Regions from separate parts of the Mus musculus genome. Here region 2 is reported to be linked to region 1. The links are microRNA targets in miRTarBase. Many come from high-throughput screens and were not tested one by one. Region 1 holds a microRNA gene; the other region holds the end of a gene's coding sequence.
What was found. Region 1 holds the annotated microRNA mmu-miR-7033-5p (UCUCCAGGAGUCUGAGGGGCAGG, at 5,273-5,295, opposite strand). A microRNA usually pairs through its seed, bases 2 to 8, with sites in the 3' UTR of a target mRNA and lowers its output. Matches are read on the target gene's strand: a 7mer-m8 pairs with bases 2 to 8, a 7mer-A1 pairs with bases 2 to 7 and ends in A, and an 8mer does both.

Region 1 (7,938 bases):
TGAGAAGATTTAACTTTTGCTGTCCAACTTCCCTGGACCCTGAGGAACAGCAACCTGCTATATTCCTAATCACTCCTCACTCAAGGGACAAGGACACCATGTTGGCAGCAGACTGGTGGCTTACCAAAAGGTCCAACTCCAACAAAGCCTTGGGCAGGTGTTGAAGAGGCCCCAAATGAGAGGCTGCTCCCTGTGGTGCCTACGCCGGGGGCAGGGGCACTCTGCCCGAAAGTAGGTGTAGATGTGCCTAAAAGGGAGACAGAAAAAAGTTAGAAACTAGACCATTATCAGGCCTATCCCCAGCACCCAGAGCTGATGAAGCCAGCCTCTGCCACCTCTCCATTATGCAACTGCAGTGAGATGGGGGAGAGGGTGAGGCGTGCTGTCAGGTTAATCCCTCCCTGGTTCCCTGCCCCTTCTTTCTCATTCATCTGTAGGGTCCCCCTCCTTCCCAGGATGCTCTGCTCTGTATAATGTCTCAGGGCTGTCTGTCTCTGATGCTGCTTCCAGACCACTTCTCTCCCCTCCTACCTCAAACACTCAATTCCATTGTTATGCTGTTTTTGAGACTGGGTCTTCTGCTTAGCCCAGGTTGGCCTTCAACTCTCCAACCTCCTGCCCAAACCTAAGTGCTGGGATGGCAGGCATGCCATACCACACCCAGGCCAATTCCCGAGGTTTGGGTCCCAGACTCTTATTAACAGTTCTGGTCCTTTGGAGGGTCATCTATCAGTCAATCACCTCCCCCACCTAGGATCCTGAATCATCACCCTCCCCATCACCATTCTTAAGTGACTTCACAAGACTCAGGACCTTTTAGTGCTAATCACACACACACAGAGCCTGAGTATTATCTGGTGTGTTTGTGTGTGTGTTTGCACCAGAGTAGTACTCATCTATGGGAGAGTACAGAAGCCAGAGGTTGACACTGGGTGTCTCTGGAGCTCTCCCTGAGCTGGAGCTGCCTATTTTGGGTCTCCTGCCCATGCGCTCTGCCTACCTCCACACCCAGCATTGAGATTACAGGTTGCCACTGCCTCATCAAGCTTCTTAGCACAGGAGACTGAATCAGATCCCCACCCTTCAAGCATCAGGCACTGGCTACTGAGCTGTCTCCCCAGCCCCATCCACCTACTTATTCCAGACGCTGCAAGCCTTCCACTGTCTCTCATTACATCCCCTTTCTCATGTTCCCAGCAACTCCCTCAACAGATCTGCATCCTGCCCTTGGCCATCTTCTCCAATTCACAAGAGATTCTCTCCTATTTACCAAAGAAGTCAGCGGCTCTTAGGGCCAAAATTTACCCTGCACGCAGCAGATGAGACCCTTAAGCTTAAAATTCTATTGTGACTTCCCTGGACATTTAAAATCCAGACAATGAACCTAGCTATGACCAACCTTGTACTCTGCCAGCAGCATTGCAATCTCCAGCCAATCGTGCCTTATTCTCTGCTCATGAACCTACCTTCTGCTTCTGCCTCTATGCCCTGACAGTACCCTTCCCTGCAGCCTGCGGTGGGTATACGTCTATCACTGTAGCATTTGGGAAGATGAAGTATGAAGATCTTGAATTTGAGGGCAGCCTGGGCTACACTAGAAAACAGTATCAAACACACACATAGACAACACAAACAAGGAGCGAGTGAGCTGGCTCTGCGTGAAGACGACAAGCACTCGCAGCACAAGCCTGGCCACCTGAGGTATAGCCTCAGAATTAAGAAGTAAGGGGAAAGCAGAAAACCAACTCCATAAAGTTATATCCAGATCCCTATCTGTAAACCATGGTAACATGCATGTACACATAGACACGCATGGTGGACACACACACACTATAAATTACAACAGCTGAGAAGATGGCCTGGTGAGTTAAAAGTCCTTCCTGTGCAGCATGAGCAACCATATGAAATAAAGCTAAGGATGACCGTATACACCAAACATCTTTTCCTTTCATTAATAAACCTAGATTCAATTTCTAGCACCCACACAGCAGCTCACAGGTCCCAGGGATCTAACACCCTCTTCTAGCTGCTGTGGGCACCAGCACACATGTGGTATACAGACATACGCACAGCCAAAAGACACATACACATAATATCTATCTTTTAAAGTTTTTTTTTTTAAAGTATGTGTGTGCATACAAAATGCAGTGCCCATGGAGGCAGATGAAGGCATCAGACACTTGAAGCCGCAGCTATAGGCAGTGACAGCCACCTGATGTGTGTGCTAGGACTAAATTTGGGTTCCCTTTAAGATCAGGAAGTCTTACCCGCTGAGCCATCTCTCCAACCCTCCAGGAACCTTTCCTGACTACACAGGATTCCTCCCATGCTAGTTTGGATTGCCAGTTGGCTTTTAACATTGCAGGCAGACTATTGTGCACTCACCCTTAACAGGCTTGCCAAACTTACCTCCAAACACAGGCTTGCTTTCAGGTGTACTGCCCACACTGAAGGCAAAGGGTGAGCCCTGGCTGGGTGCGCCCAGGGTGTTCTGACTCAGACTTCCAAAGGAGGTGGTGGTGCCCGGGGTCCCACTCTGTCCAGATCCAAAGCTGAAAGTTCCAGAGGTGGAGCTGGTGCCTGGGGTAGCACTAAGGCCAAAGCCTCCACTGCCAGCAGGAGCTGCTGAGCCACCGAATGTGAATGGGGATGGAGCAGAGCTGCCAAACAGAGAGCTGCTGCTCCCACTGTTGGTGGTCTGTGTGGTGGTAGCAGCGGTGGCAGCAGCACCAAAGCCAGATGTGGTAGCTGACCCAAAGGAGAACACAGACGTGGTGCTACCAAAAGCTGGCTGAGTGCTGGCAGGGGCGCCGAAGGTGGAGGCTGCGGCTTTCAACCCTCCGAAAGCTGGCTGTGCAGCACTGCCAAAGGTGGCTGGTGCTGGGGCTGCCGATGGGGCTGAGGCCACAGAGTTGCCGAAAGTGAACGAGCTGCCAAAACTTGGGGCAAGTGCTGGCTTGGTGGCCCCATCGGTGGCTCCAAATGTGGGCTGTGAGTTGGCTCCAGGGTAGGTTGGGAGCGCAGGCTTGGCACTGGAGCTAAAGGGAATGTTGAAGGTGGGGGTGACAGTGTTGCTGAAGGTCAGCGTGGGCTGACTGGTGGTGGCAGGGGCCGAGGTGGAGGTGGTGAGGGTGCTGCCAAAACCACTGAAGCCACTATTGCTGGCAGCAGTCTGGGTAGAGCTGGCAAGGGGCTGGCTAAAGGAGGTGCCTGCTGCAGATGCTGCTGGGGCAAGAGGCTTGCCAAACTGGAAGATGGAGGCCAGAGCTGGGGCAGAGCTAGAAGTAGTAACAGGGGGGGCTCCCCCGAACAGAACTGACTGGGAAGTGGAAGTCATGGTACTGCTGGCAGTACTCGCTGCAGTGGTCACTCCAAAGCCAAAGACAGGCTTTGAGGCAGAAGCTGCGGTGCCAGAGGCCACCGTGGAAGTGGCAGTGCCCAGGCCAGTAAAGAGAGGAGCTGATGTGGCTGTAGTGGTGGCTGTAGCAGTTGTCTGCTTCAGGGAGAAGGGAGTTGACAGGGGCATGGCTGTGAATGGCTCCATCTTGTCAAAAATGGGCTTGAACGTGGGTGTGGTGCTGGCTGCTGTGGGAGGGGCGGTGCTGGATGAAGCTGTAGTGGCGGCTGAGGAGCTACTTGGTAAGGGGCTATCACTCTCACTTTTAGGTGTGGCTGGAAAAATGGGCTTAAACATGGGAGAAGCACAAGCCGGAGCTGGAGTGGCAAGGGAGGAAGAGCTGGCAGGTGGACTCAGCATCCCAAACAGCATGCTGGGCTTTGGGGTCGGGGAGGAGGCTGTGGAGGCTGGGGTGCTGACAGACTGCTCAGCCTGAGAGACTCCAGAGGACTTGCTGTCAGTGAGTGGGGTTATAGACGAAGCAGAAGCCAGCCCCAGGAAGGTGGCTGCAGGTTTGGAGTCTGAGGAGGTGCTGGCTAGGGGCCCTGCCAGTGGTGAGACAAGAGGGGCCAAGAGGCTGGGTGTCTTCGGAGGTGAAGGGGCTGCAACTGTTGCTGCCTCAGCAGGTTCTGAGAAGAAAAGGAAGTGAGGTGAGTCTTGAGGGTGTCTGAGGGCGGCACTCAGCACGCCTGCCCCCTCCAGCAGCCACCACACCAGGACTCCCAGATTCCAGGAAAGGCGGAAGGGAAGAGTAGGGAGCCTGACTGGAGCTGCACATGTGGCCATGAAGGAGAACGCTACTCCTGCAACTGTCTGCACTGCCTTACACACACAGGTGCCTGCTCATCTCAAAGAGCCACCATGTTCACCACCCTAGCAAAACGGTGCCTGCCTGGCCCCGAGCTGCATCAGCACGCCTGCACTCCAGTGTGAGAAGTCAGCTACACAGTGTGTGCATGTGCAGTAGCACGAAGGCACTAGCTGGCAAGGTTCACCAGCCTTACCCAACACCTTCAATTTATCAATGACACAGATTCGGGGCAGCTGCCTTTGAATCACAGTATTACAGCTGTCCCTGTGTATTTCCAGACCAGGGCAGTCTGAAGCCTCTCACTGCCATCATGTCAAAAGCCTGTAACCCTAGGGCACACTGCTCTGCTTACCCGAGGATGATGGGGCTGGAGACTCCTGCATCTTCTTCAAGCTCTCCAACAGTGGGTTAGAGCTGGGAGCCGGGAGGGAGGCTGGCGAGGCAGCAGGCCCCACAGCGGGCAGGGTGAATGTGAAGGGAGGGCTGGTGGAAGGGGGGCCATCAGTGGCTGAGGCGGAAGCATCATCTGGAGGAGAGACAAGCCTCTTACATGGGAGCTCCTTCCTTCCTAACCTCACTGCTGGCTCCCGGCCTGCGCTCCAGCACTCGGGACACAGTAACATTATTGTCACAAACAACAAAACTTCCATGTCCCATGGGAAAAGTATTAGTGACAGTTCCTGTTAATAAGAGCCCTGGTGGAATCAGGGGGGACAAACATCTAAGAGCTGGTTGTAATGGTGCACATTTGCAACCCTGCACTTTGGAGGCTGAAGCAGGAGGAGGATTATGACCCTGAAGACAGCCTTGGATAATGAATGGAAAAATCAAGTATTCTACAACTGCTCTTCCAAGGAAAGCTAAAAGGAATACAGAGACACTGCGGAGCACACTGCGCCCAGCCTGACCTGGCTTGTCCTCCAAGACCTTGTTAAACCATTGCAGTGAGGCTTTCCTCTCCATGTCCAGGTCTTCAGCAGTGATGGAATAGCCAAGCTCTGGGGGTGGAGGCTGCCCAAGAGAATGGAGGCAGGTTAGGCCAAGCCCAAGATGCTGGAGACGACCCTGCCCCTCAGACTCCTGGAGACTAAAAGAGCCGAGAAGGATAGACAAGACATACCAAGGTGAGCTGGTCCCCTCGCCGGGAGGGCAGCAGCTGGATCTTGCGTTTGCGTTGCCCGGAGCTGCCAGGTGTGGGTGGGGAAGTCCATGAGCTCTGCTGCTTCCCAGTGGTTGTATCTGTAACTACAGACAGAAACACAGGCTTGCTGACCTCCCTACTCAAGGACAAGACGATCTTCCCTGCCCCACCCAGAGTAACACGGTGAACTTCACTGGAGATGCTCCTCTCGGGCCCATGGCTTCTCTACCTACCCTTTTCTCCTGGGGACTCCTTGTCTGTCACCAAGGGAGGTGAAGAACTGGACTGCTGACATGGCTCCTCCTCTCTGTGGGGATTGTGAAAGCTAGATGTTATTTGGGAAGGCCTGGAGACGGCACAGCACCTCACACACACACTTGCACACTCCCATGGCTCTAGTGTCAGCATATCACCATGTGGCAGTTCTTGTAGAAACGAAGGCAGGCAGTTGTTATAGGCCATGAGCAACCAGCCTTTAATCAAATATAGACCAGGGATCTGCAAAGCTTCCCTCAGAGCCTGCCAAGTCCAGGCCCCAGACTGCATCTTCAGGCTCTAACAGCAGATTAGTGCTAGGAGCGAGGAGTGAAGCTGGTGAGAAAGCAGGCCCGTGACAGGCAGACAGATAGGGAAAATAAAAAAGACTGGGTGGCAGGTGAGGCCAGACACAGACAGACCTGATCCCCGAGGGAGCCGAGCTCCAGTGAAGGGTGAGCTGGGGCCAGGGACTCAGGCTCCCTGCTGACCCGGTCCACTCTGCACTCCACTCCCAGTGGCCTCTGCACCACTCCCACTGGAGTATGAGACAGAGAAGGGACCCCAACCATCAGTTGCTCACACTGTAGGACAAGGACACAACTCTAGCAGGCACTTTGCTGCTCTTGTATGGTTTGACTCTGATTTGCTGAGTCAGATAAAGCAGCCCAACAGCTAATCCTTGTTAAACCCGCTGCCCCTGTCCACACAAAGTGACCAGAAGGGACCGGTCATCACCTTGTCTTCTTGGCTGGCCTCTCTGGTGTCTGGGAGCGGGAGGAAGCTGGACTGGAGAAGGGAGAAGATGTGGGACCACTCCTCTTCCACAGCTGCAAGTCAAGCAGAGAGACAATCTGAAACTACTACTGACAATATGGCTATGTAGGCAGATATTCTGACCTGGCCAGGCAGGAAGGCACACACCTTTAATCCCAGCACTAAGGAGGCAGAGGTGGATAGATTTCTGTGAGTTCAAGGCCAGCCTGCTCTACATAGTGAGCTCCAGAACAGCCAGGGTTACTGAGAGACTGTCTCAAAAAACTAAAAGAAAAAAAAAAATCAAGAAACACAGCAAAACTAAACCTTTCTGAGAGACTGGAGAGATGGCTCAGTGGTTAAGAAACACTTGCTGCTCTTGAAGAAGACCCATGTTTGGTTCCCAGCATCCACACCAGACTGCTCACAAATACTGTAACCCTGTTCCTAGGATGATGGATGCTTTCTGGCCTCACACAGGCTCAAATAAATAAAAATATCTTTCTTTTCTTTTTTTAAGACCATATCTTACTGCATAGCCCTGGCTGCAATTTACTATGTAGGCCAGGCTGGTCTTGTTAGAGTATTCCACCACATACTGCAAAATAATAAATCTTAAAAAAAGAAATAAAAGGACTGGAGAGATGGCTCAGCAGTTAAGAGCACTGGCTGCTCTTCCAGAGGTCCTGAGTTCAATTCCCAGCAACCACATGGTGGCTCACAACCATCTATAATGGGATCAGATGCCCTTTTCTGGGGTGTCTGACAGCTGCAGTGTACTCATATACATAAAAATAATAAATATCTTAAAAAAGAAATAAAGAGGTAATTCTTGTATTCATTACATATTCTAACAAAAATCATCTATAGTAAAAAGTACAGCCTCTATTTTTACAGATTCTGATATTCCATGAATATGAGTATTAGATACAAACTGGGCATGGTGGTGCAAGCTGAACACCTAGTGCTTGGAGGCTGAGGCAGGAGGATCACTACTAGTTAAAACCCAGCCTGAGCTGCATGCACAATAGCCAGGGATACATGAGACCTTGTCTCAAAAGGCAAAAGCAAACACCAAGGGCGACTGATCTACCTGCAGGAGCCTGTGCACCTCCTAGTGTCAATACCAATACTGGAGCCCAAGTGTGCCTGACAGTGGAGCTGCCTGGCTTCCCCACCTATGGGCTCTAACGAACTCTAAACAAGAATGACATCTACTTCATGAATCAAAGCTTACACTAAATCCTACTTGCCTATAAATCTCCTTTATACACCATTGCATACACTAGCAAGCGTTTGCTGAAAGGACCCTGATATAGCTGTCTCTTGTGAGTCTAGGCCGGGGCCTAGCAAACACATAAGTGGATGCTCACAGTCAGCTATTGGATGGATCACAGGGCCCCCAATGGAGGAGCTAGAGAAAGTACCCAAGGAGCTAAAGAGATCTGCAACCCTGCAGGTGCAACAACATTATGAACTAACCAGTACCCCGGAGCTCTTGTCTCTAGCTACATATATATCAAAAGATGGCCTAGTTGGTCATTACTGGAAAGAGAGGCCCATTGGACACGCAAACTT
Region 2 (7,938 bases), not on the chromosome of region 1:
ATGTCTCCTATCCAGGAGTTTTGATATATGTTGATGAGTCTTGCTTAAATCACCTATTCTAAACAGGCTGATGTTTTAACTGTGAAATGATGTAATTTTGTGTTTTAGTAGTTATTTATTCACAAAGAACAGTTGATGGTAGCTTTTCTCCTTTCAGCAGTTTCAGGTGATATTAGAATTATCATGATCATTTTAAAATACAAGGTGGCTATGAATGATTTATATGAGAATAGGGATGGTAAACAAAAAGATAAATGATGAACCGTTATATGATGACAAGGGAAAAAAAGGAACATACACACATCCAGGTAATGCAGTTAGTTGTCCATATGGCAGGAGGAAAGGGAACAGTATGACAGCTAAGATTTGAGGTGAAGGAATGCATACACATCTAGGCATACCATAACAAAATGGTGAAAGGGAAAAAGATAAAGGATATGCATAAATATACCCATTATAGTAACTAGTTAAACCAGAACACTTAACATAGAAGTGTGGCAATAGAGAAATGGGAAACATTTCTATATGTTCAATCTTTAGGAAATATTGTCACGAAAATGATAACTCAAAAGAAATATAGAAAGATAAGAACCCAGCAAGTGAAGTCAGGATGATGATAATATTGCTGATGCTTTCTTGTAAGTTTATCATGGTTCTTCCTGCTGATTTTTATGTTGAGTTTCTGTTTTATTTATTGTTGTTTTTTAATGTAGCATTGATGCAAATATAGAGCCCAATATTTTTGTGCAATCCTTCCTTACAGTGGCAGGAGCTCCTCTTTTCAAAGGTATGTACTCACTGATAAGCGGATATTAGGCAAAGAACATAGAATACTGGTGATACAACTCATGGACCACATGTAGCTCAAGAAAAAGGAAGACCAAAGAGTGGATGGTTCCTTCCTACTTAGAAGAAGGAACAAAATAATTAAGGGAAATAAAGAGTGGGAAGGACTTGGGACGAAAAGAAGAGGGGAAGGGGGAAAAGAAGGGAAGAATCAAGCATGGGAGGAGTTGGAGGAGATGTACAGAGGGTAAGCAAATTAAACAGAGGTGTATAGCAGTGAAGGATGTGGAACTGGGGGTAGCAACCAGAAAGTCCCTGATGCCAGGAAAGCAAAAGCCTCCCAGGACCCTACAGAGATGGCATTAGCCAAAACACCCCACAAAGGGGAGGGAGAGCCTGTCGTGACCATATCCAGAGATTAGACATTGTCCTCCTGGCTGAGGGATGTGGCCACCCACCCATCTCCAAAAGTTTAACCCAGAATTGCTCCTGTCTAAATGGCATACAAGGACAAAAAGTGGAGCAGAGACTGAAGGGAAGACTATCCAGAAACCTGGGGGATCTATCCCACATGCAGACATAAAACCGAGACTATATTGTGGATGCCAAGAAGTACTTGCTGACAGGAGCCTGATATAGCTGTCTCCTGAGAGGCTCTGCCAGAACCTGACCAATACAGATGTGGATGTACACAAACATTGGACTGAGCACGAGAACCCCAATGGGGAAGTTAGGGCATGGACTGTAGGAGCTGGAGGGATTTGCAACCTCATAGGAAGAACAACAATATCAACCAACCAGACTTCCCGGAGCTCCTAGGGAGTAAACCACCAACCAAAGAGTACACAGGGAGAACCCATGGCTCCAGCTGGATATGTAGCAGAGGATTTCCTTATCTGCCATCACTGGGAGGGGAACCCCTTGGTCCAGAGGAGGCTTGATGAAACAGAATAGGGGAATACCAGGCTGCTGTGGCAGGTGTGGGTGGGCAGTGGGAGAGCACCCTCATAGAGGCAGGAGGAGGGTGGAGGGGATCAGGGGCTTGTGGAGGGAAAACGGGGAAGGGGGATAACATTTGAAATGTAAATAAATAAAATAACCAATAAGAGAGATGTATATGGAGATTTCACTCTTCATTTTTTCCCTCTGCCTACTAATTGTATGACTTTCCCATAAAGAAAATATTTTCAAAACTTAGCAATTAAGTGATGTTATGGTAAAGTGATGTCCTACATTAACTCACCTTGAACTTGAATGCCATACCTAAAGCCTACTTGGAAAGTAGATTTCTGGGAATATCTCTTGTGCTTTAGTTATGACCCAGTACTGCAGTGTAACTACAGTGCTGACCACCCCACTACCCACAATGCAATTTGAGAACACCCACGAATATTGTCCACCAAGTATTTACCATGTAAGCTGAATGTGCCCAAATGTATTCTGGTCCACTATTTCACCTCTTTAATTGTTTCAAGTTTAACAAGGAGGAAGGTCCAAGTGAGGATGTTTCAATCCCACATAGAAGGGGGGGCAAAATAATCATGGGAGGCATAGAAAGAGAGGTGTCTGAGTGGGAGAGGGGAGAGGGAAGGGAAGTGGGACATGATCAGATATGGTGGTGTTTTTAGAGGGGGAGACAGGAGAAAAGCCCAGAGGGTCAGGAGAACAAATGGAAATTTGCAGCTGAGAGAGTGGGGATCAAGGGGAATCTCTAGATGGCTCCCAGATGTGAGAGGCTCCCAGGAATCAATGGGAATGACCTTAGCCAAAATACCCAACAGTGGGGAGATGGAATCTGAAGAGACCACCTCCAGTAGAGAGATAGGGCCTCCAGTGGAGGTTTGGAGTCACCAACCTACCTTCAAACTTTTTGATCCAGAATTGCTCCTGTCTAAAGAAAATACAGGGACAAAATTGGAGCAGAGACTAAAGGAAAGGTCATCCAGTGACCGGCCCAACTTCGGATCCATCCCATGGGCAGACATCAAACCCTGACACTATTATGTTGTGATAGCAAACAGGAGTCTAGCATGGTTGTCCTCTGAGAGGCTCTACCAGCAGCTTACTAAGACACATGCAGATGCTTACAGCCAACCATTGGAGTGATGTTGGGATCCCTGCGGAAGAGTTAGGGGAAAGACTGAAGGAGCAAAGAGGAGAGCAGATGAGGTGAAGAACTCTTGGAGGGAAGACTGGGAAGGGGAGCAACATCTGGAATGTGAATGAATAAAGCAGTTTTTAAAAGTAAAATAAAGTATAACCTTTAACTGAGCATGCTTAGTTGCATCCATCTAACTGAGTATGCTCAGATGTGCATGTCCCTGAAGTGCTTTCTCATATGCATATCTGTAGGCTTTCCGAATAAAACCCCTGCTGTTCCCAGTTCCAATGAAAGCATGGCCTGGTACCATTTCTCAAGCTCACTCACCTGCTGCAGGTAATCTTTCTCCACTCTTTTCTCTTGGCATTGCTTGTTTTAGCTTTCTATTCATGTGATACATACCCATTGTATGGCATAAGAGTCCTTTTTTGTTTGTTCATTTGGTTGATTGTTTAGTTGTTTTGGTTTTCGGAGGTAAGTGGCTGTTGTTGCAGTTGTTTATATTTTATTTTTGGTAGGCTTTTTTTTTGAAACACAATATACACTTGTCACACAGAATGTTTCACCTTTTATTTTAGACTTGGATCTTCTGCAATCAATTAGCAAATTGCTGCATTTCTTGAGAAAGCATTAAACCCACTTTATACAATTATACTAAAATAAGTAAAACCAAATTCACACTTTTAGATATTAGAAGCGTTAAAACAACATAGTTTACACCAAGGCTGTAAGAACTATGGAATTACAAATTTTCCTACTATGTGACTTGTTTATTTATTCTATGTTTTACTTAAGAGATAAAAGGTTAAATATAGATGCCTTATATTTATATATTTATTTATATATAACTGCCCAAATGCTCACAGAAAGGTGAAGTGATCACGAGGGGCTTTAGAAAGCCAGTGTGACACTGATATTGAATCCTCTTGATGCAAACTAGACTTCCAGTCTGTACTGAGCTGTGATGGGTACAGTTATATCTCTCTTGTGTTTTTCCGGCAGCATCCAGAGACTGCAAGACAGACATAAACCTATCTCTAGCAGCAATGGCATGACAGACAGAAAACTACCAGGACCTCCTTCTTATCTATGTTGCTGCTGCATGTATGGAGACTGGGTTTCCAATTAATGTGACAGTACTTGGCTGTATCTGTGTCCAAAGCTCCACTGCATCCTTTATTATCACCCTGGATGAGCTACAGGTTGCTCAATTTTAAAATCCTAATTTGGAAAAATTACAGAAAATCATACAAAATTTAAGTTTTAAAAGAAATATCTGTGGAGTGCTTCCCAGAAGTCTGAAGCTTATGAACACATTCCAGACACTTCTGAAGGCCACAGCAGAGGCCCGTTCTGAGGCCATGATGACCATGGTTCAAGTGCATGACTGATGGACAACTTTTAGACAATTTACTGTTATTTGCACCCAAGACACACAGCCTCTAAATTAGTTTTCTCAGTTTGTACTTGAAAATTACCCCAATCTTCCCACAACTCTGACACCGTAGGAACCAATCAATTCTCATACACCAAAATCAGAGGGAAATTTAGCCTTCCTCTTGCAAGAGAGAGTATTTCCCTTCTGCATATTTTTGAAGGGAACATTGAATACAAATAACTGAGAAATAATTGACTTTCATGCCAAACTTTGTAAACAAAGTCTGCTGGCAAGAGTCTTGGTTCCACATATAACCAAACTTTCCCATAGGAAAAATGATACTTGAAAATCATATCATTTCTTCCTGGGGATCATCCTAAACATATCGTTTAAAAGACGCTATCACTGATGAGTCTGGTTACTCCAGGCCTCGAGGAGGAGGCCTGGAGCTTGTCTTCCATAAGTAGAGACTAAAGAGAGGAAAGTAGGTGTTGACTGTTCCCTGTGGGTAATCAGAAGCAGATGTTCCCCGGGACTTTAGAATTGGACAAAATTTAGATGTTCCTTGTGGTTAGGTAAGTGTCCAGACAAGAAAAAGCTAGGGATGCAAGGCGGTTCCCGTACCTGGATCTCACTGAAGGGAGGTCCTGGAAGAATACTCAGGGAAGGGGAACCATAGTTGGAACAGGTCTCATCTTTTATTTCTCATATTCCTCTAAGTTAAGAAGACTGTGAGAGTAAGATATATGTATTATTTACAAAGTTCTTGGTCCAGAAAAACTGTACATAGTTACAAGGAAATGGTCTAAGTTGTATGGGAAGCCTGTGAAGGCTATGAGGCAGGAAGGAAATTTTGGACTACTTTACAGAAGCTACAAAGGACCAAAGATTTAAAGAGCTGTTGGCTGGTGCACCACCCTGTGCAAAAGCAGCTCAGAAACGTTCTGTACACCTGACTCCTCTAGAGGGAGCTGGAACCTCACTCTCCGGTGATTTCTCTGTACTCTTGGCTTTTGCAGCCTCGGTTAAAGTCTTTTTAGGGCCATATAGATCGGCTTCGGTAAAACGAAGAAAGGTGGGGCATACTGAGCAGGTGATTATCTCTATTCTTGTCAGTCACAGCTAGGTTCTAGCCCCCTTCACCACCACCACCACACCACCACACCACCATACCACCACACCACCACACCACCACACCACCACACCTCCACACCACCACACCTCCACTCTAACACACACACACACACACACACACACACACACACATCTCCAGTGAGGCGTGGCCAGGCAGTTAGAGTGTTCCTAAGAAGCATCAGGCCAGGCTGTTTACCAGGGAGGTCATCCGTGGTGGAAAGCAAAGAAACAAAATACACAGACTTAACGCTGAGGAAGAGATGCCTGGGACATCCTAGGAGCCTACTCACAGTGAAATAGAGAGAGAATTAAAATCACGTTCCAACAACACTGCCCCACCATTTACCCTACGTTCAGGTGTCAAGCCCTGCCCTCAGCTGTGGGGACAAAATAGTAAGGTGCCCTGGCCCAAGCTGTCCTCAGGCATGCTACACACCAGCCTCACCTCAAGGCCGGGCAAATCCCGGATCAGTCCTGGTTAGGGCCTGTGGTATCAGTCCTGGGTAGGGCCTGTGGTACTGAATGCCTGGAATGGGCCTCAGGATTTCGGGCTGCACTTGGGAACCACAGTCCCGGAATTCTCCTGAACCCAGCTGGCAGTGCTGCCTGCGGTGGAAAGAGGTGGAAAGGGCATCAGGCTGAACGGCATGACACCAATTGCCGGAGGCTTCTGCGGAAGCTGTCGTCCAGGAAGGCATAGAGGAAAGGGTTGAGGCAGCTGTTAGCATAGCTCAGGCTGGTGATGAAGTAAGAGATGCCGATGACCAGCGGCGTTTGCGGGAGGTCGGTGGTGAGGGCCACTATGGTACTCAGGTGATAAGGCGTCCAGCAGAGGAGGCACACAGCCAGAATCGCCGCCACCAACAAGGTCACGCGCTTCTTGGCACGATCCAGGGCCTTGGCGTGGCTATCTAGCTGGATAGCACGCAGTCGGCAGAGCAGAGTGGTATAGAGAGCACAGATGGTGGTCACCGGGATGGCAAAGCCCAATACTAGTGTGTAGAGACGGCTGGCACGCCACCAGAAGGCCTCGGGCTGCGGGAAGACCAGCACGCACTGGCGCCGACCCTGCTCCTCGTCCAGCCGAGCGAATACCGCAAAGGGCAGCACGACCAGCGTCACCAGCGCCCACACCGCCAGACTGACAGCACGCGCTGCACCGTAAGTGCGCCCGGACACCCGGCGCGACTCTGCTGTGGCCAGAACCACCAGGTATCGGTCGGCGCTCATGACGGCGAGGAAGTAGAGGCTAGAGAAAGTGTTGTACTGGTCGACGGCTACAATGAGCTTGCACATGACCTCCCCGAAGGGCCAGCGCCTCAGCAGGAAGTCCGCGATGTTGATGGGCAGCACGAGGGTGAAGAGCTCATCGGCGATAGCCAGGTTGAGGATGAACACGTTGGTGACAGTCTTCATGCGCGGCGTGCGCAGCAGTACGTACAGCACCGCAGAGTTGCCAGCCAGTCCCACGGCGCAAATTACCCCGTAGACGACAGGCACTGCTACCGCCAGTGGCTGCGGCAGCGGCAGAGGAGCCAGGCTGGACCCGTTGGGACAGCCCAAAGATGAGCCGCCGCAAGACACGTTGTCCCCTCCAGACTCGAAAAGCGTTAAGTTATGCATCTTGGAGAGGGCTGGAGAGCAGGCGACCACCAGGATTCCACTCAGCAGCCCCGCGAAACTCGAGGTTTATGCGCCCACGTTTACAGGGATCTGCACCCAGGCACTGCCTGAGTGTCACAGCTTTTCTCTGGATGCGCACCGGAGGGGGCGTTCCCCGCTGCTACTAAGCTCGCTGACGCCGGGACTCCAAGGCTGGAGACAGAATTGAAAACACAGCTTACATTTCTGGAGGTATAGCTTTAAGGAGAAATGAGGTCCATAGAAAGTAGCTACAGTGTCCCAAGCTCTTCTCTCCACCTGTGGAAATCAGATTCCAGTCCACTGAATACATCAAAGTGCTATGCAGAAGCCACTTGACTCCTAGGAAACCGTAAATGCACCCAATCCCCTGTTTTAGAGCTTAAGGAATTCACACTGAGGTCACACCGGCGAATTCAGCAGAGGTGTGTTTCCGAGCACGCTAGATAATAGGACTTGCAACAGCAATCTTTATCTTACCTGGCGAGTCCCAGCAAAGATCTGAGTTTCCTGGGGAGGTCAGGGAGGAACCCACTGTCTGCTGGAGGACGCTGCAGCAGCAATGAGATGCCTGCCAGCCTAGTCTGTCTCCTGTTGTCTGCCCAGAGACTACTGCTGGACTCTCCAGGAGTTCTCCCAAGAACCTGAAGTACAGGAAGCGCGGCTCAGTCAACCTGTCACCCTTTCCCACTCCACTCCTAGAAAAATCCTCTGATCTAACAGAAAACAGCGCCCCCTTCCTCAAAAGACTTCTTTGCTGCCTTCCTGCTGTTTTAATTCAGTTCATCTGGAATTATAAAAAGCTCACCTGTCAGAAACTAAAACTAAGAATGACAAAGTTAAAAAAAATAATATCCTGTTTTTGAAGAACAGTTGGAGATGAGGTTCCCATAACATG

Region 2: miRTarBase lists Npbwr1 as a target of mmu-miR-7033-5p. Seed matches in the 3' UTR shown: 7mer-A1 at 5,532-5,538 and 7mer-m8 at 4,687-4,693.

Annotation. Positions count from the first base shown.
Region 1 is chr5:135,378,511-135,386,448 of GRCm38, forward strand. Mir7033 (microRNA 7033) reads right to left here and starts at 5,300; the gene lies at 5,220-5,300. It overlaps Pom121 (nuclear pore membrane protein 121), which reads right to left. Exons shown (of 13, transcript NM_148932.2): 6 at 6,343-6,434; 7 at 5,583-5,656; 8 at 5,329-5,453; 9 at 5,117-5,219; 10 at 4,561-4,734; 11 at 2,410-4,026; 12 at 125-247.
Region 2 is chr1:5,910,272-5,918,209 of GRCm38, forward strand. Npbwr1 (neuropeptides B/W receptor 1) reads right to left here and starts at 7,127. Exons shown (of 1, transcript NM_010342.1): 1 at 3,436-7,127. The coding sequence starts at 7,022. The coding sequence ends at 6,033.